Pelodiscus sinensis: one gene and its partners. The protein of the gene in region 4 interacts with the protein of the main gene of each other region in a biochemical or structural test. Links are inferred from orthologs where the notes say so. Each region holds a gene or a part of one and is shown on either strand. Other genes may lie near its edges. The genes, in order: ARHGEF7, MAPK12, ATP2B4 and ERBIN.

The links.
Region 1: the proteins of ERBIN (region 4) and ARHGEF7 interact in a test that uses a peptide from one of them, tested with the Homo sapiens proteins (2 studies listed by BioGRID and IntAct). The link is inferred for Pelodiscus sinensis from reciprocal best matches to the Homo sapiens genes ERBIN and ARHGEF7.
Region 2: the proteins of ERBIN (region 4) and MAPK12 interact in a test that uses a peptide from one of them, tested with the Homo sapiens proteins (2 studies listed by BioGRID and IntAct). The link is inferred for Pelodiscus sinensis from reciprocal best matches to the Homo sapiens genes ERBIN and MAPK12.
Region 3: the proteins of ERBIN (region 4) and ATP2B4 interact in a test that uses a peptide from one of them, tested with the Homo sapiens proteins (2 studies listed by BioGRID and IntAct). The link is inferred for Pelodiscus sinensis from reciprocal best matches to the Homo sapiens genes ERBIN and ATP2B4.

What each region holds. Positions count from the first base shown.
Region 1 is NC_134711.1:239,396,911-239,404,630, reverse strand, and holds the start of ARHGEF7 (rho guanine nucleotide exchange factor 7), read left to right. Parts: upstream 1-4,713; 5' UTR 4,714-4,934; coding exon 4,935-5,099; intron 5,100-7,720. UniProt on the Homo sapiens protein: Acts as a RAC1 guanine nucleotide exchange factor (GEF) and can induce membrane ruffling. Functions in cell migration, attachment and cell spreading. Promotes targeting of RAC1 to focal adhesions. May function as a positive regulator of apoptosis.
Region 2 is NC_134711.1:37,391,885-37,399,883, reverse strand, and holds the start of MAPK12 (mitogen-activated protein kinase 12), read left to right. Parts: upstream 1-4,999; 5' UTR 5,000-5,225; coding exon 5,226-5,341; intron 5,342-5,537; exon of another isoform or gene 5,538-5,815; intron 5,816-6,354; coding exon 6,355-6,484; intron 6,485-7,999. UniProt on the Homo sapiens protein: Serine/threonine kinase which acts as an essential component of the MAP kinase signal transduction pathway.
Region 3 is NC_134737.1:8,689,756-8,696,900, reverse strand, and holds the start of ATP2B4 (plasma membrane calcium-transporting ATPase 4), read left to right. Parts: upstream 1-4,130; 5' UTR 4,131-4,724; intron 4,725-7,145. UniProt on the Homo sapiens protein: Calcium/calmodulin-regulated and magnesium-dependent enzyme that catalyzes the hydrolysis of ATP coupled with the transport of calcium out of the cell. By regulating sperm cell calcium homeostasis, may play a role in sperm motility.
Region 4 is NC_134716.1:89,980,210-89,988,145, reverse strand, and holds the start of ERBIN (erbin), read left to right. Parts: upstream 1-4,927; 5' UTR 4,928-5,610; intron 5,611-5,636; exon of another isoform or gene 5,637-5,885; intron 5,886-7,936. UniProt on the Homo sapiens protein: Acts as an adapter for the receptor ERBB2, in epithelia. By binding the unphosphorylated 'Tyr-1248' of receptor ERBB2, it may contribute to stabilize this unphosphorylated state.

The DNA of each region.
Region 1 (7,720 bases), on a different chromosome or scaffold from region 4:
GCTGCTGTACCGCAGGCGTCCGGAGCAAAGCCGCGGAGCACGGGGGCAGCGGGACAGCCCAGACGCGCTGTGGCTGTCCTGCTGCCCTCGGGCTCTGTGGCTTTGCTCCCCATCCCCCTGGTCTGCAGACCAGGGGGACGGGGAGCAAAGCAGAGCAAAGCCACGGAGCACGTGGGCAGCTGACAGCCCAGACGCGTCTGGGCTGTCCGCTGCCCGCGTGTTCCGCCGCTTTGCTTCCTCTCCCTGGTCTGCTGGAGACCAGGGAGAGGGAGGGCCCCATTTGTAACTGCGGATCCGACATAAGTCGGATCCGCGTAACTCGGGGACTGCCTGTACAAGACAGACACAGGGGAAAGAATAGATGAGAATGTGCAAATGAAATAAATGAGTGATGGTTTGTCAGTGTCATAGAACTAATAGAATATTTTAACATTTTAAACAATCTTTGGGTGGCTTTTTGTTTATTTTAGTCTTTATTTTTATTTGTATTAACTACATTATAGGGCAATGATAGGAGGGATTGGATGACTGGAAGATTAGCTAAAATGAAAAACATAAAAGGTGAGTGGAAAGAGGGAGGGAAAAACAGGAAGAAGCTGGAGGGCAAGATGGAGATGGGCATAGAAGGAGATCAGAAGCTGAAATGAAGACCATATGAGGATCTGCAGACCAGGGGGACGGGGAGCAAAGCAGAGCAAAGCCGCAGAGCATGTGCAAGAAAAACCCTCTTGAGCAATGCCGTTACACCTATTACTTTTCAGGAAGAACAGCATTGCGCAAGAGAGTTTTTCTTGCGCAAGAAGGGGCAGTGTAGACGCTCCTCCTTGCGCAAGAGGCTCTTCTGAAAAAAATGGTGGCTCATTAGGTATGCAAATGAGGCTCGGCGATATTCCACGCTTAGCCTCATTTGCATATTAATCGCGCAAGAAGCCTCGAGTGTAGACATAGCCTTTCTGTTTTATATGTTGTTGGAAACTATGCTCACAGGTTTTCCAGTTAGTTTGGCCATCTATACTATTTTCTGAACAATATCAAATATTCCAATATTCTTCTATTGCTTTTTTGTACAGATATATATTATTTAGTTGCTCTTAAATGGTCTGTTGAAGGAATAAGTAGAAAAGCAAAAGTGATATAAAATTGAATGCTAGCATACATTTTGGAAAAGTTATTAAGTGGATTGTGCCCATGAAAGCTAATGATACCATCTGCATTTTAGTTATTCTCTATGGTGCTGCAAGACTATTCGTTGTTTATTAAATCGCATGTTTGTCAGTTTAAGACAATCTCTAACTATAAAGGATTATGAGGAGATGTAACGCAGAGGGCAGACTATACAATATTTGCCTGCACTTCCCTCTGAAGCTGCTGCTGCTAGCTACTGTTAGAAACAGGATACTGGACTAGACAGACCTTCCGCAATTGCTATGTTTCCTGTGTGCATATAAAATGAGTTTAGCAGCAACATATAGCAAAGTGTGTTGGGCCACTAATGATGCAGCCAATCCTGCAATCACATGGACCTTTTCTAGGCTAGGAAAACAGATTGTTTTTTAAAATAAGTTAGCTACCAAACTTTGAACATAACTTTGCACCTTGTGTGGCCACTTCAATACTTTCAAAAATTTTGACCTTAAGTGCCTTAATAGGGTCTTGTCTAGACAAGGCTTTAAGCACATGGATAATTTCAGTCACAGAAGTAGTTTAAGGGTACGTTTAGACAGCTGGGCCATTTTGGGATACCTGAAATAGCTATTCTGCATCATTTAAATGCACCCGTTATTTTGAAATATTTTTCAAAATAATAGGCATGCTATTTCAGTATCCCTGTAAACTTTGTTCCACGAGGGTTAAGGAATGTGTCAAAATAGTGCATTGTTTTGAAATTTGGCGCTGTATAGAAATAATTAGAAATAATTTCAAAATACAATTGAAATAAGATAGGCAATTTGCGTAGCACAACCTAACTGACATAAATGGGACAAAGCAACAAATACATTATAAACCACTTTGCACAAGTTCATTTGCAAAATATTTGTAAGCACTTTACACTGGCTTAGCAACAACTACCATAAATTATAATTGTGGAAAGTCACAGAAAGAAAATCAGTGAACCATATGGCAGACTGTAGACATGATGCCTGGAAATGAACACAGCCAGGGAAGCCAGCACTTCAGTCACTGAACATTGTTTTAATAATTGGCTCATTGCTCATATAAACTGCAAGCAAATGAATAAAATATCCAAATGGGATCAGTTGGACCATGGATATGCTGCCAATGTTCCTAGAAGGAATTCTCATTAAAATGTCCTCCTTTAGCCTTGATAAAACCCATATTTCTGAGATGAGAGTACTTGCAGATAGGACAATGAGGATCTGATGAAACTATACACTTTTTCTCCTGTTTAAACAAAAACAATTTGACCAAAAAAAATTTGACCAAGACAAGTGTATTTTGCTGTTCCTTTGTTCTTGCAAAAATACAAACTAAATTATATATTACTAGAAGATTTACCTGGTGTTGCTTGGGTCCTTAACTCAGTTAATTTTTGTTTTGCTTCATTTAAATCATTGCTCTGGTGTGGGGCTGGGAATGAGAGGTTCAGTGTGCTGGCTGCCCCAGGGATAGAGGACAATCCCAATCCTCTCTCACTACAGCAGCTTGGAGTCAAGTGAGAAATGCTTCTCCATGGCTGCTGCAGTTCCAGTGGGCATAGCTAAGGGAAGGTCACATGTCCCCTGGCTGGGACAGGTCTAGGTTTGTCTGCCCCCTACACTCCCCAGCCAGAGTGAGGAATGCAGCAAAATATGCACTTTCCCCTTGCTCCTTGGCGAATGGGAACAGCCAGCAATGTCTCTGTACAAATTGGGGCAGGAAGAGCTGCAGCTTCCTCTGCCCTCCCTAAAGGCATCTGGGAGGGGTGGGAGGCTTGGGGCTGACCCAGATGGGGGGCGGGTGCACCCCCAGCCATCCCCTTTCACCTGCCTAGTGATTCTGCCTCTTTTCTGTATGGTTTTGTGTGTCCCTGTATGAATCAGTGGGGAGCGTCACCCTTCCCCATCCACACACCCAAACCCTGACCTTGTTTTAAGGTATGATAATAGGAAGCTGTATACCAAATTTGGTGGTCCTAACTCTTATTGTTTAGGAGTTCTTTTTATGCATCCCTGTATGAATGGGGGGGGGGGATTCAGCCCCTCTGCCCCCGCAGAACCAAACTCGTACCTTACTTTAAGTTTAAGTTATGAAAAGAGGAAGCTACATCACAAATTTGGTGGTCCTAGCTCTTACTGTTCAGGAGGAGTTGAACAGACGGATGGACAGACAGATTGCAGAAAGACAAACTTTCTTAAATATATAGTAGATATAAACTGTTTTACAGTACACTATTAAATTTGTGTAATTTGAAATAGGGAGCTGAGTGCAGTTTTGCGGGAAGTTTAGGAGCATTCTGCCCTGGTAATTTTTACAACTCTGTAGCTACAATTTGGTACATTTCAAAGAAAAAAAATCTACTCAAGAATATTTTTGTGAAAACAGTTATCTCTGTAAAGGTGTTTAGAATGGGTCAGCATTATCAAAAGTAGAGAAAGCAACTCAATCCTCTTTTATTTTGGTAGTAGAGTTTCAATACCTGACTTGCTCCTGCCAATTCTGCTCCTTCAAAAAACGGCAGTTTTCTTGTTGGAAGTCTATTAAGGTATTGCACTGGGTTTCTTTTCCTTCTGGTATCTGTATGGCTCCAGAAGTCAAATGTAATAGCAGTAAAACACTTTGACTAGGAAATATCAAATTATACAAAATCGTTATTTATAAATCTGTTCTCTTTTATATGGTGCGTTCATTGATTGCAATGAAGTGTCATAAACCAACCCTACACTAGAGGGCACATAAAACAAATTGTTTGTTTAATGTTAGATCCTTGTTAATGCTACCAAGGTCAAGCACAATACAGAGCAGACCTATTCCTGGCAGATTTTATGAGTCCACTCTGCACTGTTTAGGATCCATCGTGTTACATAGGGAATTAAAATGTTCACTCAGCACTGTTGGCTTGCCGGGCAGTAAAAGAGAATATGGCACACACTTATTTTTAATGCCACAAAATCCTGAAGGATGCCACGATTTGCCAGATCAAATATCCACGTTGCCTCGAGGTGAATAACGCCTATATAAATGTTACCAGTGTTAGCCACCATGTATATGGGGGAGGATTTAAATAGTGTCTCAGGCAGCATCTAAATCTCACCATGGATACTGGCTATGTGTATAAATATGTGCACGGTTTGCCAATGTGTGCATGGCAACACCCATCCCCATGCAATATGTGTGACTCTATCAGACACAAACACATCCCCCCCCACACACACATTGTTCCTGTTACCTAAGCAGGGTTCATTTGTGCACTAGCTCAAACGTTCCCATTTGTATCCGGGGTGCAGAGGCGGGAGGGTGCGATCGCCACAGAGGTGCCAGCGCTCGGCGCGGGTTGCAAAGGAGGCCGGTGCCCGCAGCAGCTGCGCCCTCCACGAGCCGCAGGTCTGTGTGCCGGGCAAGGGCCCCGCGTCTTTTCTTCCCCGCCGGCTGTCAGTGATGTCATGCGGAGGCGGCAGCCGGCGCTGAGGGCGGAGGAGGGGGAGGCGCTGCAGGTTCATGTGTGTGCAATGAAAAGGCAGTTGACAAGCTGCCAAAGCGCACGAGAGGGAGAGGAACCGGACCCGCTGGCTTTCGCAGAGCCAGGCGTCATCTGCAGCAGCTCCATGGCGCGGGAGGCGGCGGCGGCCCCGGCCTCTGCTGCTTCCATGTGAAACCCCCAGCAAAGGGGTGGGGGCGCTGGGGGGGCACCGTCCAAATCCAGCCTCCTCCGGCGCGCGATTGCTTCCTCCCCCCCCCCCCCCCAGCCGCAACGCCTGGCCGCGGCGGCAGCAGCCATGAACTCCGCGGAGCAGACCGTTACATGGCTGATCACCTTGGGCGTGCTGGAGTCGCCCAAAAAGACCATCTCGGACCCCGAGGGGTTTTTGCAATCGTCGCTGAAGGACGGGGTGGTGCTGTGCAGGCTGCTGGACCGCCTGCTCCCGGGCACCATCGATAAAGTAAGTGCACGTTCCTCGGCCCCTTCGCCCCACCCGGGCCCCTTGCGGCGGGAGCAGCCTGGGCGTGTGTTTGGCTCCGAGCTCACCCCCCCCCCCTCCAAGCCCTCTAGCAGCCAGGCTCCCGCACCCAAATAATGCCCCGCAGCGGGTCATGCATCCGCCCTGCAGGGTGTCAAATGCAGCCAGGCGCCAGTGCAACCGCCCCATGTGCAGGAGGAGCCTCTGGCGCTAAGCGCCTCTGCTGTGTAGGGAGGAAAGGGGGCGCCGCGGCGGGGAGAGCGGCGCTTGCTGCGCGCAGCCACAGGGGCTGCACCCGGGAGACGCGTCCCCGCCCGGGTCCCCCCGCGCTGCTTCCCAGCCACGACCAGGCCGGGCAGCGAGCCGCTCCGGGATGAGATGCGCGCACTTTCCTTTGTGCACCGGGCCCCCTCACCCCACCCCTGGAAGCACAGACCGCGGCACGGGCGGCGGGGGGTGCCCCACGTCAGGGAGGCCAAGCCCCATCTCCGCCCCTTCCGCCCGCGCCCCACCCCCACGGGCGGAGCCCCCAGAGCCCCTCCAGCCTCCCGGGGGAGCCTCGGGCCCGCCCCCCACCTGCCCGGGGCAGCTGAGGGTGGTGCGCGCGGTGGCAGAAGCTGCGCGGCACATCCCGCTTCTCAGCCGCATGGCGCCCCGCACAGCAACAGCCTGCCCCCAAACCCGGGCTGCGGGGCCCGCGGCCGCTCCCGGGGCCTCTCCCGGGGCAGCGGCAAAGGGAGCGGGGCGGCCTTTCCCCTGGGCCAGCGGTCGCCAGCCGCGCGGCAGCTTCCTCCAGCGGGCAGCACCGCAAAGGCGCCATTGCCGGGGGACGGAGGAAGGGGCGCAGGCGGGCATAGACTTTCCCGCAGGGCTGGACTCAGGAGGTCACTTAAAAGGGCAGGGAGCCGGGCTAAGGCAGAGCTGCCCCCCCTCCTGCGCGGGAGGAAAGGGGGAGACTGCCCGGTGAACAGGAATTCAGCTGATTGAATACGACTGTGATGTGTTAGATTCTGTACTGGTCTATTAAAAATGGCCAGATGAAAACAATTTCCCAATCAGATGTCTTCCTGCAGGAACCACGTGACGAAATCTTATTTAGGAAATTATTAAGTGTATTACAATGAGTCTTTACAAGAACCGAGGGCACTTCATAACCAATAAGGGTGACAGTGGGGTGTGTACACCCTCACACCCCTCACCTTTATTGGTTATGAAGTGCCCCAAGTGCTTGTAAAGACAGAGTCCTTGCCCCAAGGAATTTACATTCAAAAGCCATGATTTGGTTTCTGTGGGTACACTGAATGGAGAGGTTCTGTGCAGTCATTGTTGATCCACCCCAGTGCAGGATTGGGGCCTAAACAAAGGTGATGATAAGCAGGGAGAGTGGGCCAGACAACAAGCAGTGTAGTGTGCTCAAATGGTGACCTGTGTATATAGGTTTTTGGGGAGAGGAGTTTTTTTCAATTTTTGTGAGATTCTTTTATAGGGGAGAAAATGTCTCTCAATATTAAAATCCTAGCTGTATGTGAAAGAGAAATGTATACAGAATTAGATGTATTTATATCTGTCTTACTTTAGGACATTCCAAAACCAGTCCATATAACTACTGGAATATTAAAAATGTTTCCAACAGCATAGGATGCAATGTGACTGGGTCTCAGTAAACAGTAGAGGAATGTTTTTAAACACTAGAAATAGTTTTCATGTAGACTGTTTGCTTTTCTATTACTCAGGCCTTTTATTGTTCACCTATCATTCAGAACAGTCTACTTTTTTTTAAACTGACATGGCATTACAGTTTTATTTTGTGTTATGTGAAAAATACAAACATAAGATGTGAAATAACTTTTATGTACCATGTACACTTATATACATGTAACCCTTTTTCCAGGTAGTGCCACTAGCATCCAGGGCTAGGTTCAATATGTGGGGGTTCCTCTCCATCCATCTAACACAGAACTGGCTAAAGCCCCCAACCCGTAAGATGGGAAATTCAAACAACACCCTTGGGTACTTTTGAGAGGCAGTGCTTCCCCATTGCAAGCACAGAGTCTGAGTGCAGAAAAGAAACCTTTAATATAACCTTTAATAGAGGAAAGGGAAGTAATGTGGTATTAATTTGTGAAAACACCACAAACAGGGTTCATAATCAAAACCATGAGTAACAGTCCCACCCCAAGTAGATTGGACAATGTCCTTTTCCTCTCAGGTTCTTAGGCCCAGCAATGTAAATGTCCCCTCCACATACCCAGCCCTTTTCTGCACCCCATTCACAGTTGCTGCCCTTGGTCAGGGCAGACCCGGAGTTCAGAGGTGCATCCTCAGAGTTCACCTCCTATCCTGAGAGGGGTGGAGGTAAAGAGGCATCTTACTCCACTGGTCACTCACCATCCACCTGCTCGCTGCTGTCTGGCACTGCTCTGCTGGCCATTCTTCGCCCCTTGCTGCCGCTGCTCTGCTGGCTGCTCATTATGCCTCTCCATGGCCGCCCTGCTGGCTGCTCATCGTGTTGCTGCTGCTCATGGCATCTTCCACTGGCTTGTGGTGGATTTGACTCTGGGCCAAACCTAGTGATTTCAGCTCTTGGCCCAAAGCACAGTCCA
Region 2 (7,999 bases), on a different chromosome or scaffold from region 4:
TCACAAGTTTTGCAACCCATACAGGTAAAAACTTTACTGCAACAGAAACAATTCAACCAAACCAAAACTTGAGGGCAGTGGGTTTTGAGCTGCACCTGCACTCAATTATGACAGGTTTTGGTGAAAGCAGAAAGGAAAGTGAGTTCTGGAGACATTAAAGCCAGATGGCCACATTGGTAACAAGAGTCAGCCCATGCAACATACCTATTTTGTATAATATGGGAACGCTGGTACAAGTTACAAGATAAATGAAAAAATACCATCTGAATATACCTGGCATCAATGACACAAGATAGGCAGGGAGTGGCAAGATAGAGCCTGATCGTGCTATGGTCTTAGGAAGAGGAACATACAAATGTGATATAGGAATTACCCTGGGTAACCTCACAATGAAGAACCTGTGGCTTGGGGAAGACAGACTAGTAAGAGCAGCAAACAAAGCATGTCAAGTGTATAATAATCCAAGTATATGCACTGACAACTCAGCAGTTGGCAGTGAAAATAATGCATTCTGGGAGCAGGTGCAGCAAGTATCGGATGATGTGCCTAATCATGATATCAAGCTGATGATAGGCAACTTCAGTGCACAGTTGGCAGTAACTCTACTGGCTGGGAAGGAATCATAGGCAGTGATGGAATGTATATTAACTAACTAACTAATAATGGCAAATGGCTCTTAAATGTCTGTAGCACAAATACCCTAATCAATGATAGACATCAGTCTTTTCCAACACAAGAGAATAAAGAAGAAATGCAGGCAAAATAGAAGAACCTGGGTTCAGGAGAAGGCTGCAGAGGCAGAAGAAAGAGCACAAGGGAGATTTCAAGCAGCTCCATAGAATAGTCAAATACATATCAGGAAGAACCAGACTGTCACAGGTGGTGCCCAGCAGGGATTCTCATGAACCTGTTGAAAATGCATAAAGAACAAGGCAATCATTCTATACTAACGTGACCAAAGTCAATGATCACAAAGCTTGGTGAGAAATTCCATGGGTAAGCTAGAAATAGAAGGGGGACAAATAACATCTAATGAAATAACAGCATTGCAGTCACCAAAGTTCTTAAACGGGAGAGATTCTGGGGTTGACAGAATTCAATCAGCACTAATAAAGTCTGGAGGGAAAATTCTGACTGAACAGCTAATAAAACTCTGTAATGAAATATAGACAAGTTAAGGTAACAGGTGCAACAAAACTGGAAATATGGTACCACTGTGGCACTGCCAAAAAGTCTGATCTTATTCAGTGCACAAGCTGAAGAGGAATTGTACGGCTAACAATCCCAGGAAATAATTGGCTACCTTTATGCTGAATAGGATGAAGGTGGCAGTGAATGAAATATTACAAGTCTGGATTCCATCCAGATAGTTCCTGCTGTGAATTGATACTCACTCTTTAACAGATCATTGAAAAAGCTACTGGTTGGCAACTAATACTCCATTTTAATTAACTCTCTCTAGTTTAAAGAAAGCATTTAATAGAGTCCACAGAGAACCCTGGGGAATATTGCTAGAAATTATGTGATACCAACAAGCTTATCAACATTATATGCTGGAAGGAGACCTAAATTAAGAGGAGATACAGGCCTACATGTTTCAATATTGTGAGTGGTGTCTAACAAGGGTATGTTTTATCACCAAACCTCTTTGCATTAGTAATAGATTGGGTGATGAAGCAAGCAACAAAAGGTATCATGGATTCTGTAAAATGGGTTAGCAGAGATGAATTACATTATCTTAACTTTGCTGATGACATTGCTTTATTAAGCATGATGGGGAACTGAAGGATTACCCTTACATCAGCGGTAGAACAGGAAGCATAAAAAAATTGGATTGAAAGTAAATGCATAGAAAACCAAGATTATGAAGGTAGGAAACTGAACAACAGATTCAAAGATGTACACTGATGGAAAAGAAATTGAAAAGTTGAAAGAGTTCAGCTATGTGAGGAATGTGTGATGACATTTAAAGGAGGCTGTGATGAAGATGATATTACAAGATTAGGAAAAGAAACACCACTTTTGGAAATATGACCCATAACCATTCTGATAGAGATCTCTACTCCAAACTAAGGATCAGATTATATCATACAATTATACTGAGCATGCTACTGTGGAGAGCAGAGACTTTGCCAATGAGAGTTGCTAAAAGAAACTGAAACTGAAAGCTGCCCAACACAAATGGCTAAGGAAGACACTACACATTTCATGAGCAGACAAAATAACAAATGAGAGAGAGCTTACAGAGCAGGACATGCTAGAACATATCAGCAAAGAAAGAAGACACATGATGTGGTAAAATGGGAGAACATAACTTAAGAACATAAGAAGAGACATGCTAAGCAAGCACTGAATTGGTTACCTGAGTGAAGAAATAGAACATGAGAAAAATCAAGGAAGCACTTGCAAGACAGAGACAGAGGATGTAGCATACGTTGGCATTACCTCAGAAGAAATACAGCAGAGGAATTAAACAGCTTGATGTGTCTGTGGCACTGGAGGAACTAAGGTATAAGGCTCCACTTACATATTAAGTGATATGTACCAAAGTTGTTCACTTTCACTGTGTAGTATGTAGTTATACTGCAGAACCAGCTTGACTGTAAGCACTTACTTGATGCAACAATATAGGCAGTCCCCGGGTTACGTACAAGATTGGGACTGTATGTTTGTTCTTAAGTTGAATTTGTACGTAAGTCGGAACTGGTACATATTGTACCCCAGGTGTCCCCGATTCAGCTGCTGCTGAAACTGACCAGCGGCTGACTACAGGAAGCCCGAGGCAGAGCTGCTCTGCCCCGGGCTTCCTGGAATCAGCCGCTGATCAGTTTCAGCAGCAGCTGACTTGGGGACACCTGGGGTAGAGCAGCTGGGGTACTGCCAGGTTGGTCCCCGCAGCGCCGAGGTGCGGCGCTGCGGGGACCAACCTGGCAGCACCCCAGCTGCTCTGTCCCAGGTGTCCAGATTCAGCCGCTGTTGAAACTGACCAGCAGCGGCTGAATTGGACACGGCTGGGGCAGAGCAGCTGGAGTGCTACTGGGTTGGTCCAGTAGTGCCGCACCTCGGCGCTGTGGGACCAACCCGGCAGCGCCCCAGCTGCTCTGTCCCAGGCGTCCAGATTCAGCCGCTGTTGAAACTGACCAGCGGCGAGAAAAGCCTGGTCTGCTGGGGGGGAGGGGTGCACTAGCTGCGCCCCCTCCAGCAGACCAGGGAGACGTTGGTGGCGGGACCGCCAAGATGCTCCGTGGTCCCGCCGCCCGCGTCCTCTGCGGCTTTGCTCCGCGTCTCCCTGGTCTGCTGGGGGGGGGGGACCCCCAGCAGACCAGGGAGACACGGAGCGGCTTTTCTTGCTGCAGAGGACGTGGGTGGCGGGACCGCCCAGACGCGCTGCTGTCCCACCGCCCGCGTCCTCCGTGGCTTTGCTCCGCATCTCCCTGGTCTGCTGATGTGAAGGAGGGATATAGACAGGATAATAGGGAAATGGGAAACTGTGAACGAGTTTTACTCTGACAATTGGGCCAGAGGTTTGGGGAGAAGTAGAGAATGGCATGTTATGTGACAGCAAAAATAGAAAAAAATGTTAATGACAGTTACACCTTTTCACTGTATGATCCACCAATTTTTGTTTAAATCTGTTTATCTACACAAACTTTTTCAGTTATTCACTTTGGTGCAGGATATGTTTCTCAGGCTATGTCCAGACTGCAAGCTTCTTTCTGAAGAAGCTTTTCCAGAAGAGATCTTCCAGAAAAACTTTTTTCAAAAGAGTGTCTACTGAGCAAAAGTGCAATGAAAAAGTTATCTGCTTTTTCGAAAGATAGCATCCACTTTAATTGAACGCTATCTCGCATTTCAGTTGTGATTACTGTGGATGGAGTGGCCACCAGGGCACCTGTGCTTTTTCCTGCAGGCCTCTTCTTTCAAAAAAACATTCTTCCGTGACCACACACACCTTTTTTGGAAAAAGCTTCTTCGAAAAAAGGCTTCTTGTAGAAAAAAGTATACCGCTGACAGAAAAAACCCTCCATTCCTTTGACTTTCTGTCGAAAGAATGCAATAGCAGCATGGATGTAAGTGTAGTGTTTCCAGAAAAACTCCCATTTTTCCAGAAAAACTCCACAGTGTAGATGTACCCTCATTCTGTGTCCACACAGTGCTTAGCACAACTGGGCCCCAGTCCAGTTGGTGGGAGACTTTAGATGCCACTGGAATAAATTAACAATAACTCTCCACTGATCAAATGTTCCTTCATCCCCTTAATCGACCATAGTAGCTCTGACAAAGATAAAAAGAGATGGAAGTAGCCACCCTTGGGTTCTTTCATGTGCATACAAGACGTTGCCTTTTAAGTGTATTTTATTTTTTTGAGACAAAAAACATTTACAAAAGCCATGGAACTAAAATATATACCAAATTTTACTGCAAAACCATGCTGCTTTTGATTACTTGTGTCAGTGTAATGTTTATCAAACTGTTCACTGGGACAAACATCTAGGCTCCATATAGGCAACTAACTGGATTAGTGGGTAGGTACCAGTTTGCAGCATTGGCTCTGGGGCCTCATATAAGTAACCCCTCTTCACCGGGGTCTTGTCTGTAATGCAGCGTGCAAACCTTGCTTTCTTTTGTCTTGTTGCTTGCATGTCCCAACACACTCTCTGTAAATAAGAGCGTGTGCCATTCAGCTAGACCCTCCCTTTTTCAGAGAACTCAGAGATCACACCTAGCTAGAAAGCTGCTTTCGAATACAACAGGCTTCCTTGAAACAGGCTAGAAATGGGGGGCCTTTCGGGGTGCGGGGCGACATCTCACCACGTGATCTCGAGTTGGTTTGAGAAGAGCGAGCAGATCCTCCCTAGCCCAGGGGCTGAGACCCTCCCAGCCTCGCCATCAGGCAGCAACCGCAGGCAGGAAAGTTATGTGTCTGTGACAAAGCAGGCAGCCCCAGATGCGGAGGGGGAGGGGGGAATTCAGTGTGACTCCCACAGGACCTCCTCCTCCTCCTCCTCCGAGAGGGCAGGCGTGGAGGTGGGGAGGGGAGAGGAGAGGCGGGGAAAGAGAAAGCCGGAGCCACATTCAATCCCCGCTAAGAGAGGGTCCCACACGTACACACACACCCCGGGAGCGCTTCCAAGCCCAGCCCCTCGCACCAGCCCCGCCGCCGCAGCCCCTCTCTCCGCCTCGGGGCTCTTTGTTGGAAGGCGCCGACAGGGGGCCGAGTCACCATGTCCTCCGCCAAGAAAGGCTTTTACCGGCAGGAAATCACGAAAACCTTGTGGGAGGTGCGGGAGCGCTACCGGGACCTGCAGCCGGTGGGCTCCGGAGCCTACGGCGCTGTGTGGTGAGTGAGGCAGGGGAGCAGGGGGTCCCTCCCAGCGCCTTGCCCAGGGCGCCCCGGCCAGGACAGGGCTGGGCGGGAGCTGCCTGCGCTGCGCGCCCGGGCTAGCAGAGGGCTGCTCTCTGCCTGGCGCCCCGCCCTGGCGCTGCAGAAAGGGCTCGGGGAGGCGGCTCGGGGGGTCCCTGGCTCGCGGGGGAAGCGTGGCCACTTTCCCTTTAATTCCTTCCAACTTTGTGGCTGCTCCGCCCCCAGCGGGGCCCGGAACCGCTCCCCGCGGTGCCGGAGTCACTGCAGCCAGTTCCGACATCGGCCCGGCCGGCTCCGGTGCGAGGGAAAGGCGTACGCCCGGTACCTCCGCGCTCACATTGCAACGAAGGGCAAGTTGGAAGGAAAGCCCAAAGCGGACAGTTCTGCGATCCTGCCCGGAAAAGCTCTTCCTTAGTGCCAGGGGGCAGGGCATTGAGTTCATCACCTGAGGCATGAGAGTTTCTAGCCTTTCTGTGTAACTTTGCATGGTCCCATTCATGGATATAGGCAAGCACTTTCCTAGCTACCCTAAAGTCTTGCAGTCCGCGGTGTCCTGTAGCAGTGAGTTCCACAGTTACATAATCCAGTAAAACTGCATTTCCCTATTATCTTTTTTGCATTTTGACTTCATCAGAATGTTCCATTCTTTATTACAGTATGAGAGCTGATTGACCTCTGTTCAGACATTGCTTTATAGACCTCTACTGTGGCTCATCAGAATTGCCTAGGAAGAATGGTCTATTTTCATGGTGTCCAACCAGTTCTGAAGCTATAGCTTAGGGAGTTATTATTCCCACTTTACAGTAAGATAAACAAAGGCACAGATAGGTTATGTGACTTTGCCTCTGTAACATAGCAAATCAATGGCAAGGCGGAGCAGAGCCCCACACCTGGAGTCCTCTAACTTATTGTTCAATGTACCTTGCGTGTCAGGACTTCCAGCATCACTCCAATCCTCACTCACAAACTCTATACTTGTTTTCTTAAAGCTCAGCTATTGATGGAAGAAGTGGCATCAAAGTGGCCATCAAGAAATTGTACCGTCCATTTCAATCTGAACTCTTTGCCAAACGAGCCTATCGGGAACTACGCCTCCTGAAACACATGAAGCATGAAAATGTAAGTTTAGTTGTTAGCATATACTCTCAAGACTGCAGCTTGCACAGCAAAATGCATACATTTCACCATGCATGGTGCCTGATCTACTGTCCCCCATACTTCCAGTATTCCCATAATCTGCCAAGGTAGACATGCCCTGGCACCGCAGCATCAGTAATTTAGCTCTAACAAAGATTTTTAGCCATGTATTTAGCATAAAAAATAGTGATGATGAGAGTGCATGTATGTGCCATTAGAGAGCAGCCGTCAAAAAGTGACTTTAACCTATACTGTTTGCATGCATTTGTCTATGGCTATCCTGTAGATTTTAAACTGTGAGGGATAGTTTTTTTTCTATCTGTCTTTACAAAGCCTACCACATTCTGGGCACTATTGTAATGTACAAACAAATCTATAAACACAATGCATGTACACCTATATACATTGTAACTTGCACAGTGCATATGCCTGTCTCCTGTGATGGAATACTTGTTGGAGAGGCGGAATGTGTGAGTAGCTTTGAGGATTAACTCCATGGTGATCTGGAAGAGAATAAAATGATGGTTTGTGAGGAGCAGCAATCAAGGCTGGACTATCAGGGATGAAGGAAAGTGATAAAAGATGAGTGATTAAATAGGGAGAGGCAGAATTGTTTTACTGAGGGCATTCTGCACCAAAAAATAAAAATTCTGCACACAATTTTTTAAAATTCTGCAAAATTCTGCAAATTTTATTTCTCAAATAAATGTGGAGGCCCCAGCATGACAGTGGGGAACTCTGGCTACTGGCTGCACAGAGATGGGAGATCACTGTGCAGCTCCACTGCCACAGGTCATGGACTGTGCAGTGAGACTGCACCCAACCTTGACAGAGCACAAGGACAAAGCTTGCCCAAGAAATACCTTATGGGCAAGGCCTGTCCCTCCTTGACAGATGCCCCAGGTATGGTCAGGGAAGCTCAGCAAGGCAGTTAAGATGACCTAATCCCCCAGTATAGACAGCATTAGGTCGACGGAAGAATTCTTTGGGGAGGTGCCTTTTGGGGAGGTGGATTACCTACAGTAATGGGAGAATCCTTCCCCTTGCTATGATGTCTACACTGAAGCAATACAGTGACACAGCTCAAGTGCTGCACTGGTACTACTGTCATATTTCAAGTGTAAACAAGATCTTAGTCACTTGAAAATGTCATTTAGCTGCTTCTTGAAAATTTTAGTCACTTCGATATAAGGGAAGTGGAAAAGGGAAACTAGAGGGAGATTCAAAGAAAATGTGAAGATCGGATGTGATCAGAGTAGTGGAAGGTGATTGTAACACCTGTGTTTGCTCTGGATTGGAGGAGGGTAATGTGTCAGGGAAGTGGAAAAGGATAGGGCTGCAGTAATGAAGAGAGGATTGGAGGGAAGGAAGGAGTCAAAAATTACAGCCAAATTATGTGCCTGATGGACAGGAAGGATAGAAATATTGTGAACAGCAGGAGAAAATAGGGAGCAGGGGAAAGGAGTTCAGAGGAAATCTCAGATTCATTTTTGACTA
Region 3 (7,145 bases), on a different chromosome or scaffold from region 4:
TAAAACAAAGTGTTATTAAAACAAAAACACATAGAGGCTGCACTGCCTGAATTTACGTCAGTTTAGAGGAACAGGCTAAACCAAACCATGTTTAAACCAGACTAAGAGTGTCCACACACAAAAGTTACACCAGTTTAACTAGATAAGGACATAAGAATGGCCATACTGGATCAGAACAATGGTCCATCTAGATCAGTATCCTGTTTTCAGTGGCTAGTGCTTCAGAGGAAATGAACAGCATATGTCAATTATTGAGTGATCCATCCCCTGTCATCCAAACCCAGCATTTGTCTGTTGGAGCTGTGGGAATAGCCAGAGAATGGAGGTTCATCTCTGCTCAGCTGCAGTAACAGACATGGAGGAATCTACCCTCCAGGTGCTTAATCCAAATCCTGTTTGAACCCAGTTTTGCTTTTGGGCCTCTCAAAAATCCCCTGCCAACGAGTTCTACAGGTTTAGCACAGGAATACTTCCTTATGTTTGTCTGAACTGTGCTGCCTCTTAATTTCCCTGGGTGACTAACACCTGGTTCTTGTGTTATATCAGTGTTTTTCAACCAATGGTACTAGTACCCTTAGGGGGTAATTGACAGAAGTCTGGAGGGTACGTCAACACAAGTGAAATTTGGAGAAAACTGAATTTTTGTTTTAAGTTTTACAGCGCATTTTTATTTTTGTACTTTTTACACCTACCAATGTAATTACCCGCCCAGCTACGATTAAGTTGTTTAAACAAATGTGTTGCAATAGTAGAAAAAAAATTATGTATCTGAAAACTGTAGGTACTGGGGGTACTTACAAAAAATTTTTTTTGAAAAAGGAATACTTTATAAAAAAAGGTAGAGAAACACTGTGTTATATGAAGGAGCACTTCCTTATTCACTTTCTCCACACCTTTCCTGATATCACAGACCTCAATTATATCCCCCTTTTAGCTATCCATTTTCTAAGCTGAACGGTTGCTGATGGAGCAAGTGCCCCACGCTGGCAGAGAAAGGGTTAAAAGCAGCCTAAAGTGGCTGTGTGGGGAGTAGCCAATCAGGGCCCAGCAGGCCCATATATAAAGAGCTGCAGGTGGTGCTAGGATCCCAAGGAAGAGGGCTGGGTTCCTAGAGGACTGCAGGAGGGTAGAGCAGCTGTGGGGGGGACTGGGAGTGCTGGCTGGACTTTCAGACTTAAGGCCTAAGAATGGGGATGAAGAAGGTGCTGGGACTGTGGGAAAGTGTCTCAGGACATTGAAGCTGCACTGTTGAGAGGCAAGTGGAGGCTGCTAGCTCCAGGGTTCTTGGTCCAGGACCCCCAGGGGTGGTCTAGTTCTTCTCCCCCCTACCCACCTGGGGAAGTGATAGGAGCACTGAGGTGCTAACCCTCCCTGGAAAGGAGAAGCACAGTGCATAAGAGGGTGCTGTGGGTCTGGGAAGCAGTCAGGATGGTGGGCAAGGCATCCGGAAGAAGAGGGTGCACTGACCTGTGGTGCTAACAGCCAAGACAGTGAGCAAGAAGGTGCCAGTGTAGTGAGTGAGGTCCCCTGCCAGTCTGAGTCTTTTTAATGTCTGTCAACATGGAAGCTGTTCTATGTTCCTAATTTGTTCTCGGTACCCTTTCCAATTCAAAAGTATCTTTCTGATATAGACACCCAGAATTGCATACATACAGTAGTCAGGACCTGGGCATGCTATGGGCTTCACTTAGCGGCATTATTATATTGTCGTCTCACCTGTCCCTTGGTTATTGGCTCCTAATGGTCTTAGTTTTTTGTGGCTGCTGCTGCACATTTAATGGCTGTTTTCTGAGAGCTCTCCAGGAGCTCTAACGTCTCCTGAGTGGTAACTGCTAATTTTGAATTGGCACTTTGTGTAGCTGGAATTTATGTTTCCAAACACACACTACTTTGCATTGATCAGTGTTCAACTGAACCGGTCACCAATGTGTGTGAGAGCCCTTTGAAGTTTTGAATAATCTTATACCATAAGAATGGCCATACTCAGTCAGACCAAAGATCCATCTAGCCCAGTGTCCTGTCTGCTACAGTGGCCAATAACAGGTTCCTGAGGAAATGAACAGAACAGGGAATCATTAAGTGATCCATCCCCTGTTGCCCATTCCCAGCTTCTGACAAACAGAGACTAGGGACATCATTCCTACCCATCCTGGCTAATAGCCATTGATGGACCTAACCTGCATGAATTTATCTAGCTCTCTTTTAACCCTGTTATAATCTTGGATCTCACAACATCATCGGGCAAGGAGTTCCACAGGTTGACTGTACATTGCACAAAGAAGTACTTCCTTTTTTTTAAAGAAAAAAGTCTATCTATTCATTTCATTTGGTGATGCCTATGTCTTGTGATATGGGAAGGAGTAAATAACTCTATTCATTTTTTCCATATCAGGCATGATTTTATAGATCTTGATCATATCCCCCCACTTAGTTGTCTCTCTTCCAAGCTAAAAGTCTCAGTCTTATTAATCATTCCTCATATGCCAGCCATTCCATACCCTTAATCGTTTTTGTTGCCTTTTTCTGAACCTTTTCCAGTGCCAGGGAAATGGTTGTTTCAAAGTTGGCCCCCTTTTTCCAAGTCCTTTATGAATATGAGGAATAGCATTCGTCCAAGTAAAGATTCTTGGGGAACCTGCTATTTACTTTTCTCCGTTGTGGAAAACTGGCTATTTATTCCTACCCCTTGTTTCTTATCTCTTATTCAGTTACTTATCTATGAGAGGAGCTTGCCTCTTATCCAAGACTAAGCAAACTAAGCAGGTGCTAGTGGTGTGGGATCTTGTTAAAGGCTTTCTGAAAGTTAAAGTGCACTATTCCTACTGGATCACCCTTGTGCACATGCTTCCTGGCACCCGCAAAGAATGCTAAGGGCTGGGGGCAGTGTGATCTCCCTTTATGAAAGCCTTGTTGACTCTTCTCCCAACATACTGTGCTCGTCTGTCTGATAATTCTGTTCTGGACTATAGTTTCAACCAGTTTACAGGCTGTCAAGTCTAACATCAGTACTAGGTAATGTCAGTATCTGGAACCCTTTTTAAAAACATGTTACACTAGCTATCCTCCAGTAAGGCATTGTAGCAAATTGCAGTATTTTGTACAGACCAGGCCTAAGATCAACAGAATTGTTTCCGTGAGTTAGCTCTTGGTTTACAAGAAAGCAGGGGAGGATTTGGTGTATACATTTTCAATTGTTGTCTAGTACTGTTAGCATAGCAAACTTTTGGCTTGGGCATGAAAGTGCAAATGAAACTAACAAGAAAAAACTGAAACTAACTAGCTTTCTTTTCACTGGCCAAGCTGATAAGCCCAACTCATCAGTAATGAAAGTGATGCCCCAATCTTGCAATGGTCTCTACACCGGAAGCTGCACTAGTCTCCTTGCAGGATTGGACACCCAGATTCTGAACTTGCTTCACATTTTTCTACTGCAGGCCCACTGCTGATAACCATGTTCCCTGTAAGCTGAGGACTTGAGTGGCTGCCTGGCTGATTAGCAGAGCACCCACTGCCACATGCAGCCAGCAGCACCTTTTTCTATGGGTGGTGTGCATCTGCACGTGTGGGTGCACATACCAAAGTTTATTTTGCCCACGGCTGGAAAATATTAGAGGGAACACTGTGGATAACTCATTCAGCTGGGTGAACTGCTAGTCCTGGTCCTTACCCCATGGATCCTAAGGGGATACTTGCTAATGGGGGGGGGGGGGGGGGGGTAAAAATATTTTAACATTTTGCTGTAAAATGCACTTTTTCCCCCTCCTGTTTCCTCTGAGCTTGTAAAGTTAGGAGGCCTGGCTAGAGAGGGCAGGAAATAAATGTCCAATGTCCCCTCTTTAAAGATTAAGAGCTTTCTGCAACACCCACCCATAATAAACCCCACAACCACCCCCTCAGCACTGTTTGATCTCTCCAGCTGGCTTCAGAGGCAGAAGCAGGTAGGGATCTAGGGAAGAGTGGGGTGGAAACGCGGGGAGAAGGCAGATCTGCCTTTTGCCTCTTCCCCCTTAAAAACCAGCCCAGCAAAGCGCCTAGCAGCAGCGGGGCTGGCCTGCCTGTGCAAGCCACCTTAAGAGACTTCCTCCTCCTCTCTGGGATGGGGCGAGGCTGGCTGGGCTAGGCAGTGGCGTTGCCATGACAAGCATTTTCTTCAGCTAGCGCCGCTCGTGTCGGTCTCGCTCCATTCGCGAAGGGCTGCGATTTGAAAACGGAGCGAAGGAGGGGCGGGGGGAGCCGAGCCCAAGCCGGCCCCTACCCCTCGGTCTGCTGATTAGCTGCCTTGCAGCGGGGATCGGCGTTGCTTTCCCGAAAGACCTTCAGCGCTAAAGGACATTGGGGCGCTCTCCAAACTGCTCCCCTCCAAACTTTGGGAAGAGCAACACCAAGCCAGAGGGGGTGGGCGGAAGAAGGCGAGGGGGGGGGGCGGCGAATCCAGGAGTTTGGGATTTTTTTTAACCCCTTCCCTCCCATGGCAATCCAGGGGAGTTTCCCAGCCCGGGGAAGACTGGATTACTGGAGGCGGAGGGAAAGCAGCGAGAGCAGCCGCAGCCTATGAATTGAGATTTGTGTGTGTGTTTGAGCAGCGCATGGCTGCGGCCCCCCCAGCCTGCGCTTGGCGCCGCTACTTCGCCAGCCCGCCGCTGCCAAACTCGGACCAGCTGGGTGGGTTGTAAAAATCGGGCTGGAGGAATCCGCCGGCGTCGCCTCTCCGAGCCAGGAGCAGGGTGAGTGGTTTTTCCTGCTTGTGCTTGGAGCCTTCCCCTTCGCCCGGGCCTGAGCTTTGCTCTTCCCCGCAGGGTCCGGGAAGGGGGCGCCTTTATTTTGAAGGGGGGGGGGGCCGCTGGCGGGCTCCCCCTGGCTGAGGATCAGGCGCAGACTGGAAAACTGTTGCAAATACATTTTCCGTGTCTGCTTCGCGCTCGCTCCGTGGTGCAAGCGGGGAGAGAGCCAGAGCGGGGAGAGAGCCAGCGATCGCCCGGGGGTGGGCAGGGAGGTGGCGTGTGTGTCTGCTCCCGGATCGCGCCTTGCAACACGAAAAGCCGGGAGGGAGGGGGGAGGGGGGTTTCCTTTCTCCACGGAAATCCAAGCCGGTGACTCGCCCGGCCATGCCTGCAACAGCAGCCCCCGGGCGTCCTGCGGAGTGGGCTAGCTATAATTAGCCGTGGAAAATGCAGGGAGTTCCCTTAAGTGGAGAGGGCTGGGACCCAGGGAGAAATGCCCCCTGCTCTGGGGAGGGGCTTCCAGGAGACCCGGGAGGGGGGGGGGGAAGGAGAGCGGAAGGTTTTGTGTGTGGAATGAGGCTGGGAGGTGGCAGTGGGGTTATTGGCCGGGGGGGCTGTGAACCAGTTTGTCTAATGGAACCACAACGCGCTGCAAGCCCGGGAATCAGGCCCCTCGAGGATCTGGGGGATTTTCCCCTTTATTTGCCCCTCCACCCAGATCAGTCCCCCCCCTTCTCTCCTAGGCTTGCTGTCTTTCCCCAGTTCTCCCTTTGGGCTCCCCCCTTCCCTGGACTCAGCTCTGCCTCTCTGATGCAGCAGGATTTTCTTGTCTTGTTGGCCCTCGGGTTTCCTTCTACTGCATCCCCCTCCCCCCATTTATCTTGGATTAGGACCCTCTCGCTGGAAGTGCAGGGAAGTGAGGGGGGCTTGATTCCGCAGGGAAGAGATCCATCCATGGGGGGAAAGATTTCTCCAAGGAGATCTGGGTGGCAGGCGTGTGGCTAACAATCCTGCCGCTGTGGCAGCGCCTAGCCCGCGAGGACTGACGCTCACCTGCATGTGGGGGCCTGTCTGGCTGGATCCGACTGTAAGTTCCCTGGGGCAGGGGCTGTCTCCGGCTGTGTGTGCGCACCGCGGCGGTGGCTGGTGCGCTCCCAGCCTGGGCAGGGTGGTAATACAAATGCCCTGTGTGTCCAGCAGCCTGGACTGTAACACAGTAACCTGCCTTACGGACTGGGCACACAATAGCGGGTCTGTCTCAGCCCTGCCGGAGAGCCTGGCGTCACTTGAAAAGGGGTGTGTGTGCGCGGGGGTCTCTTCCCTGTGCCTTCTGCTTGTCGCCCCCTCCCCCCTGCCAGTAGGGCTGCCAGGCCCATAGAGGATTGGGACTGGGCACAATGCTAGCTCATTGGCATGCAGAGGGTGGGGTCAGCACATTGTGCTCCCCTAAGTGACCCACTGGTGTCTAGTCTAGAGGGGGATTTGCCTGGGGAGCGGAGGGCGCCGTGGTCTGGCTGGGATGCAGTGCTGGCAACATGTGCTCCCAGCACGCTCCTGGTGCTGGGGAGGGCGTCAGCTGGATCCACCTCTGCAGGGTTCATTCATCAGGGAGGTGCCACCCTCCCTGCTTGCACAGGATTCTCCGTGTAGCTGCCTGGCCGGCTGTGTGCAGCAGGTGGGATGGGGGGGGGGGCTGCTTTCAGGGAACCGACAGGTCTGGAGCGGGGAGCAGGTTGCCTCCCCTCTGACTCTCCAACATGGGTTTGGAGGGTCGTGAAGGTGCAATGATGGTCAGGTGGGGGCGCCGCCGGGAGGAATGGGTGGAGGGCAAGGCTACTCTGCCAGCCCCCCGCAAAGGTGAGGGGGAATTGTGCTGTTGAGAACAGAGCTAGGACGAAGCTCGGTGGGGCCCAAAGACAAGGGACACAGCGGACAGCTTAGACCCCCAAACAGGCCCTGCCTGGTTTCCAACAGGTGCCAGGATCTTGCCAGCTCTGCAGAGGGGAGGGGTGCCTCCTTGACCCCCAGTGGGGAGCATGGACAGGGTTCCATTCTGGGGGGGGGCTGCAGTTGTGACTGAGAGGAGGCATTGGGCTTGTGCTGGCAGCAGAGCTAAACTATCCTGGGCGGGGGGAAGAGGGCAGATTTGGCTGCAGGGGGCACATCTCTATGCCATGCAACAGTGAAGGTCCCACCCTTTCAGCAGCATGCTCCTGGGGCCTGCAGGCTGGCTGGGGTCAGACTGCAGGACTGGAACCTTCTGATCCTTGGTGCAGCGGGGTGGGTGGATAGGGCATCAGGTGGCCTGCAGCACCCAGGCAATCCTTTTTGACTCCCTGCCAGCCTCCTGGCAGGTGGGAAAGAAGAAAAGCTCCAGCCGGGGAGACTCCCATCTGTTACTATGCTTCTCCAGGGGAGAGCTGC
Region 4 (7,936 bases):
AAACCAATGACATACAGACCACAACAATTGGAGATCCTCTACCTGCTGCAGCTTTCATCCACCTTCACAGCTGCTGTAACATTACACTACACAACACTTTCAACTCCATTGTACATTTATCCTCTGTCTGCTCTGCCATTGAGGACTACTTGGATCACACTTTGTCTTGAACCTTGCCTTTGAATGTTCTACCATGGGTGACCCTAAGGGAGTACATGACTCCAGGCAACATCATTCGTGGGAGTTATTGGAACATGCAGGCCTCTCCATCACGATAAGGTGATGATCCAAAACAGCTCCTGACTGAAAGTCTCTATGGAGGTCAAGTCCTCCTCTGGTTCTGGGTCCCTCTTCCCCTCAGCATAGTTGGCCACAACTTCCTCCTCCTCTTTCAGTCCACTGTCATATGGTCCCTGAGACCTCGAGGTGTCCATGAGGGTTTTCAGAATGGAGGCAGGGTCATCTCCAAGTATATCATCCAGCTCTTTGTAGTATCTGTAGGTCATGGGCACAGAACCAGAGTGGTAGTTTGCTTCCCATGCATTGTAGTGTGGCATTTTGCAGCTTCTTCCCTTTGATTCTCCACTGCAGTGCATCCTGGTTGTAGCCTCTTTCAGTTATGCATCAAGAAATGTGCCTGTAGGTATTATAGTTCCTACGGCTGGAGCACAGCTGGAACTGGACTGCCTCCTCTCCCCAAATGCTGATGTAGTACAGTACCATAGTTCCTGCTAAGGTGCGCATCTGCGCAGCCGCATACAAAAAAATCTCCCCCCTGCCCATCTCCTCTGGAGAGTTGTGTGGCAGCATGCCCATGGCAGCTGGCTGCTCCAGCGGGTGGGGCCAGCTGAGCCAGCATGGTAAGGGAGCTGCTGGGGTTGGGACCTGCCATGGCTGCATGGCAGGGGAAGGGGGGGGAAGGGGAAGGGAAGGAAGGCCTGCTTCAGTGGCTGGGCTGCCACATGGCATGGGGAGCCGGGGCCTGTTCTGGCAGCTGGGGCCAGGCACGGGACCTGCTGCATGGTGGGGAGGAGGTGGGCGGGGTGGTGGTGTCTGTTTCAGTGGCTGGGAAAGGGACCTACCACAAGGCTGGGGGGACAGGGTCTGCTCTGGTGGAGGGGAACAGGACATGGTACATGGCATGGGGAGAAGGAGATTTCTGCTCTGACAGCTGGGTGTGTGTGTGTGTGTGTTAATAACTTGGGTGCCATAGTGGCACACATCCGATCGAGCACACGACCTCAATATTGATGCACAAGCCAAAATTCACTCCGTTCACGGTTGGACAATCTTAGAGGGAACACTAAACAGCATCTTTGAATGGTTCCAAGTTGGGGAACTCCTGGTGCATGGCTAGCTGGAGAGATGCCCTGAGAACACACCATATGTCACTGAGCAAACAGAAAGGGGACTCAAATCTCAAAAAGAATGCAAAGGATGGGTCTGGGGGTTGGTCACCAGAGAGCAAGGCAGTAGAGTTCAAAGCGATGTCCAAAGAGGCAAGAACAGGCAGCATGAGAAGAGTGCTGGAGACTAATCATAACACAGTACTTCACCGCACTAGTGCCCAAACGCATTATCCAGAGCACAGCAATCTCTATGCTGTTTGCAAAATTGGTTTACCTACAGCAAACTAGTGTACATTATGATTTGCCAGTGTGGATACTGAGAAAGTTACAATGCTGGGGACTGATTTACTGCACAGTAACTTGCCGCTGTAGACTTATTTTTAACTTTGGCGCATGAAATGTGTCATACTTAGTTTTAGACAAAAGGTGAGTTGTTCTGAAGAAAAAGAAGTAAGAACCTAAAAACAGCTATACTGGGTGAAATCAAAATTCCATCCACTCCCGTATCCTGTCTTTCACCAATGGCCAGTGCTAGGTGCCCCAGAGAGAATGAACAGAACACAATCATCAAATGATCCATGATACTTGTATGAACATGAGAAAATGATAGAGGTTTCATTGTTGGGGGAGGGAGGGAAGAGACCTCTTCCTAATTTGTTTACAATGCCTTTATTTATAAGTGTAAAATTTGGCATAGTTGTTATCAGATATTTATTAAACAGAGGACGGGATTATTTGAGAAAAATGTAGGAACAAAATGAGTGCAACCTAATGCATATTGCCTTAAGTCCAGATGTTGCTATATTTGAATAATTGAACATTAAATAGCAAAATATGTAATTCCTATTTACATATGAAAATATTCAAATAAACATTTGAAGGTACAATCAAATTTAAGTGCATTTATTTAAATATGAGCATATTCACTTAATCTCAGCTAAACTATTAGCACTCAAACCCCTTCATTGAACTGAATGGTAACTGTAACATTCCTGAACTGGACTGATAATGGATCTAATGATCAATCTCAGGAGAATGGCAATGATAAACTTTTTACTTCAAGGGGCTTGTCTTGATGTATAGTGCTACAGGGCATGGGTACTGGGTGAAGGCCCAGCGGTGGAAGGGAAGACAAGCCCAAGCCCCGCCCCTCCCAACAAAAGCCATACCCCTTCCCCTGCGACAATACCTCCTAAACCAGTGGTCCCCAACGCGGTGCCCGCGGGCGCCATGGCGCCTGCTGGGGCATTCGTGTGCGCCCGCTGACAACCTGGGCTGGCCCCGCTCCCGGCGCACAGGAGGCGCCGGCCCCAAGCGCGCGACACACACTGGCGCTGCGTGCGCGGCGCTCGGGCGGCTCCAGTCCCGGGGCACATTGCGGGCACTCGGTGCTCGAGCGGCGCCGGTGCCGGCCCCAGGTGCGTTGCTCGGGCGGCAGCGCCGGCCCCGGGCCCACGGCGCTCTGGCGGCCCCGGCCCTAGGGCAAACGCCGGGTGCAAGAGCATCCCAGTCCTCTTGCGTGCCCCCGGACGCACGGCTCCGCCCCCGGCGCATGAGTGGCCCCCACCTCCCGAGCGCCCGGGAGCCTCTAAAGGTTGGGGACCACTGTCCTAAACAATTCTTCCCCCTAAACAAACCCCGGCCAACTCCAGCTCTCAAACCATATCTTTCCTGGCTACCAGGAGGAACAGGGCTCCCTGTGCTACAGCCCCAGCTCTCTCTGGCTGGCAGGGAGCTAGTCTCCTGGTACTGTGGCTCCAGTCATCCCTGGCCACTGGGCTGCCACTCTAGGGCAGCTGGGCAATGTAGGCAGTTTTGGGACGGTAATACCTTCCCTTGCCTTTGTTACTGGCCACCCATGCTACAGGGGCACAGCTGTAGTGCTTTAGTGGAGATGCTATTATGCTGATGGAAGTAGTTTTCTGTTGGTGTAGTTAAACCACTTCCAGGAGAGCAGTAGCCATGTTCACAGAAGCTCTCCCATCAACATGGTGCTGTCTACACAGGAACTAAGTTGTATAATTACATTGCCAAGGGGTGTGGATTTTGAGCAACATAGTTATACTGATGTAGGTCTCTAGTCATGTAGATGTGGCTCAGGTTGTGACTACAAATCATTACTGTATAATGAGTGTTCAGTAGCATTAATAAAAAGTTTGGGTTTAGTTCAATTCTTAATGGGCCTGGATTAAATATACAGCATCACCATTCATACTGGCACATTTGTTCACAGTCCCATTAAAGTAGCCAAAGATTAAATGAGTGTGAAAACTACATCCTTAGAAGTGGCCCCCTCAGAACATGATTACAGAACAGAAGGTGATCAGCATGTGGAAGTCCATCCTGCAGTTACCAGTGCTGTCTGTCCTGTGGCTCAGAACTTTAGACTCCAGATTTGTCAATCTGGCATGGTGCATAAGTAACAGATTCACTAAAAAAACTAAGGATACAAAAAGCAAAAACAGCTACCACCACATATTGTTGAGATTTAACATGAACAGATGAATAAATCAAGTGTCACACAACAAATCTGCTAGCTACATTTCACATACCGTTGCATGTTATGAAACATTTAAATTAATAGCATATTTAGTGAAACGCTGCTTATGTAGAAAGGGGGAATGTTTCAATAAGAAATACAACTTTGAATTTCCTAGTTTAGTATCCACGATCTCAAATATAGCATGACACTATTATTAGCATTTAAGTAATTTAATTTAATACTTTTTTTTTGGAAACTCACCATGTGGCACTGTGCCCTTACTCCCCAATAAAAATACTCGAGATAAATGGCACATTGGAGTGATAACTAACAAGGTTGTTATGTGCAAGAGAACAAAAGCCTGGCACAAGACTGACTGTAATATGTGCAATTACTATATTATGATGCTGAGCGGATTACCCCTAAGAAAACAACTCTCATTCCAGACTCAAGGTTGACTCTGTCTTAACTGATACGGTCTCTAAACGAACAAGCGAGCCACCGCGCCCTGCATTCCACTGGCTGCCAACAAGCAGAAGAAACAGCGACACCTTTACACTAAAAACAGGCAGCGAAACCACGCGGCGATTGCTTAATGAGGAAGAAAAAGGGCATCAACGACTGCGAGCTGCCGCTTTTCCACACACGCAGCAGCGAGCGCTGTGGGCGTGAGAGACAAACAGCGAAGGGAACGTTACGCTGACCTCTGGCGAGCCTTCATCGCCCGCCTCCCCCTCCACTTCACCCCCGCCAGCCCCGTCCTCTGCCCCTCCCCCTCTACCTTTTCGTTTCGTTCCGCTCCTGTCACTGCCCCGCGCCCTTTCCCTGCCCCTACCCCCGCGTGTTCCTCGCTCCCCCACCCCCGCACCAACCCAGCGCACAGCCGCCCCTCCCCCCCTCAGCACATCGCTTCCCGGTTTCATGCAACGCAACTTGCTGAGGCATTGCTCGTAGAGCGCCGTGATTGGCTGGGGCTGGCCGCCCCTCGCGAGGCCCTGGCTCCGGATTGGCTGTGCTCCGCCGCTGCTCGCACTCAGCCCCGGGCTTGTGGTCTGACTCAGGAGTGAGGCAGGCGGGGTCTCGCCTTCCTCTAGCGGCCAGCCGGAGGGAGTGTGTGTGTGAGAGAGACAGACAGAGGCGCGCCCGCCCTTCCCCTCCCTCCCGGCGGCGCTGCAGTGTCTCCCCTTGGCTGTGCGGCGGTGCTGCCGCCTGCCTTGTGTATCGTGAGCGCCCCTTGCCCCGCTGCGGGCACGACGTGGCCCGGCTACTACCGGTTCCCCAGCCACCGCCCGGCCGGAGGGCGCTGCCTGTTCCTCGCCTCGCGCCCCTGGCGGCGGTTAGCGGCGCGGGGCGGGCGGGGCCGGGCTGCATGCGGCAGTCTCTATAGGACGGGACTGCAGGCGGGGCGGGCTCGGCGCGCGGAGCTGGCCTAGTGTGGGGAGGAGGCAGCCTGGCTCGGGCGGCAGGGGGCGGTGGCGAAGCGGGCGCTGCAGACTCGCCGTCTGTGCCCGTGCCCAGGGCAGGAAGTGATTCTCCAACTTCAGCGCCGCGGCCGGGGAATGTGACTCGGCCGGGATCGGTTGGCCGCTGAAACCGGGACCGGGGGTGCCGAGAAGCCGGTGCTGCGTCCTCCCTGCCCCAGCCCTGCTTCCCGACCAACAGCGGCTGCATCCGCTCGGCCCCCGTGAAGAAAACTTGGTTGGATTTAAAATTCCCCTTGGGACGGAGAGGGGCCCTGCTGGGGTAGGGTGAAGCTGATCGAGACAGCAGCGATCGAAGGTAAGTGGGTGCAGAGGAGGTTTGGGTAAGAAACCTTGCGCCGAGGGGAGGGGAAAGGAAGGAGCTGGCGCTTCATTCCGATATCCTGTTTTTGGCCTTTAGTTTTCTGCTGGGCTGTGTTGTCTGCCTGAAAAAAGCCCGAGTCTCCTTTTGTCTCTTCCAATGTTATTTGTGTGTGTGGGATCGTTATTTCTATGGAGGTTGCAAGAAGAATCTGGTGAGATCGAAAGTTTTTAAGCTCCTCAAACAGAAGTTTCTTTGTTCAGCAGGATGAGGTATTGAAGTGAAACTGCCTGGTTATGGTTCTCTTCTGAAATAGTTAGCCCGGCAGCTTAGTTCCTTTCTCTACAAATAAACACTTCCAAAGGGTACTGCTCTTAATTATTTTACTTGAAAGAAATCCAGAAGTTAGGAGATATTTGCTTTCCCCCCTTTACTTTCAAGGGTGTTGGTTCCTTTACTGTCGCCATCTAATATGTGCATCCTTTAAAAAGAACGACTGATCTTTCTTTCTTTGTAATCATTTGTTCACTTTACAAATAAGGTTGTGTTGTTTGTCTTCTGTTCTTCAAGATGAAGAGTTTGGCTATCTATTTCATCACTGGAGAAGAGTTAGTTTGTTTAATTTTATCTTAATACCTGGGGCAGGATAGCCAACACTTCTTGCATTGCCTTTCCTTATAGCAGAAATTGAATGATTTTCATATGCAAGACATATACCTACACTTAGAACCTGTAGAAGTTTATCCTGGTAAAATCTGATGTAGTCGAAAGAATGGAAGATACTATACTTTAATATGAGTTACTATAAGAACTGCTTCTCAAAATTAATATGGTATAATTTGGGTAAAAACTGACAAATTTAATTTTCATTGCTTTATATGGGACTTCTAATCAAAATTTGTTTGAGATAGGAATACACACAGGCTCAATGCAATGTGATACTACAATCATCTTGTTAAGGCTATTGCAAAAGTGTGGCTACTACATATTACTTTATCTTGACTAATTTTATTTAACACAAAACATATTATACAAAGTATCTAGATGTCCTATAACAACTTGGTTTAAGATGCTTCAGAGAGCCAATGCCAGATATTGATTACACTGGAGTTCCAAAACTATATGTGCTGAGAGAGGTCTAAAAAAAATCATTCATGTATTGTATAGATTTCAAAAGAATGCATTAAAGGCCATAGCTTGGGACTAGTTTATGTTGTCCTTGATAGAAGACAGTCTAAATTATTATTCTTGAATAACGAAGTGGATGGCAGAGTGTTTTCAGTTGTACTGACTGGATATGTTGTGTGATCAGCCTGGTTTAGGAATATGGAACTGGCTTGTCTGAGAAGCGTGTGTGCCTGAGAACCAAATATATTCACTTTTATATGAACTTTTTATACTTGTTATATATGTATTTGCCCATTTTAAGAAAGTAAAACATTTAAAAATGACCCAGATCTGATAAATAACATCAGGCAGTTTTGTGTAGTGATGAAATGATTATTCATCTAGCACAGACTCATTTAGTAATAGTATTCTTTAGTGGAAAAGTGACAGATTTGTGTCAATACAAAATAGCTTTTTCAAATGATAATGCACAACTGATCTGGGTTATGATTTATAGACTTATCTTCACAGGCAACAGAAGAGGTTATTCTTGGGCATCTGAAAGAACTAAACAAAATAGATGACATTTGAACTTCATCTTCCTTCTATGGCTTATACTTGGCAGTGAAGCAATGAAGTCTAAATAGAGTAATCCTTTTATAGAGAATGATCATTTTCCAAAGCACTGCTTCATTCCTAACAATGACACGGTTCTGAAGGTGGGGGAAAATGTAGTAAAGCATGACAAATTTAGTTGTCAACTAATGTATTCCTAATGGATGCAATTTTATTTCTTTTCGGACTTTTTGTTTTTCTGATGATGTGCTAGATATTTTTCAGTACCATGTAGGAGAAGAGATCCTTGTATTTGGGGCACCAACTTTTTGAACTGGTTTTGTCATTATGGCAGCTAAAATAAGGCCCTTAAATGATGAGAGTGCAGTTCACTGCTACTTATAGCTGGTGGTTATGCCATAAAATGGTGTTCATTTCATTAACATAGTTTAGTATTCATCAGAGAATTTATTCTTTCTTGCAACCAGCAGTGTTTTCAGAATAAAAAATTACTTAAGTAATAAAATCTTTAAATTGTCATTTTTGGTGTAGGAATGTAAGTGACTAGTCAAGTAGTTGACTACCTCATAAGTCTACACGTATTGGGTAGTGGAGTCGACTACTTGACTGCTGGCATTTCCCCCTCTCCTTACTGCCTCTA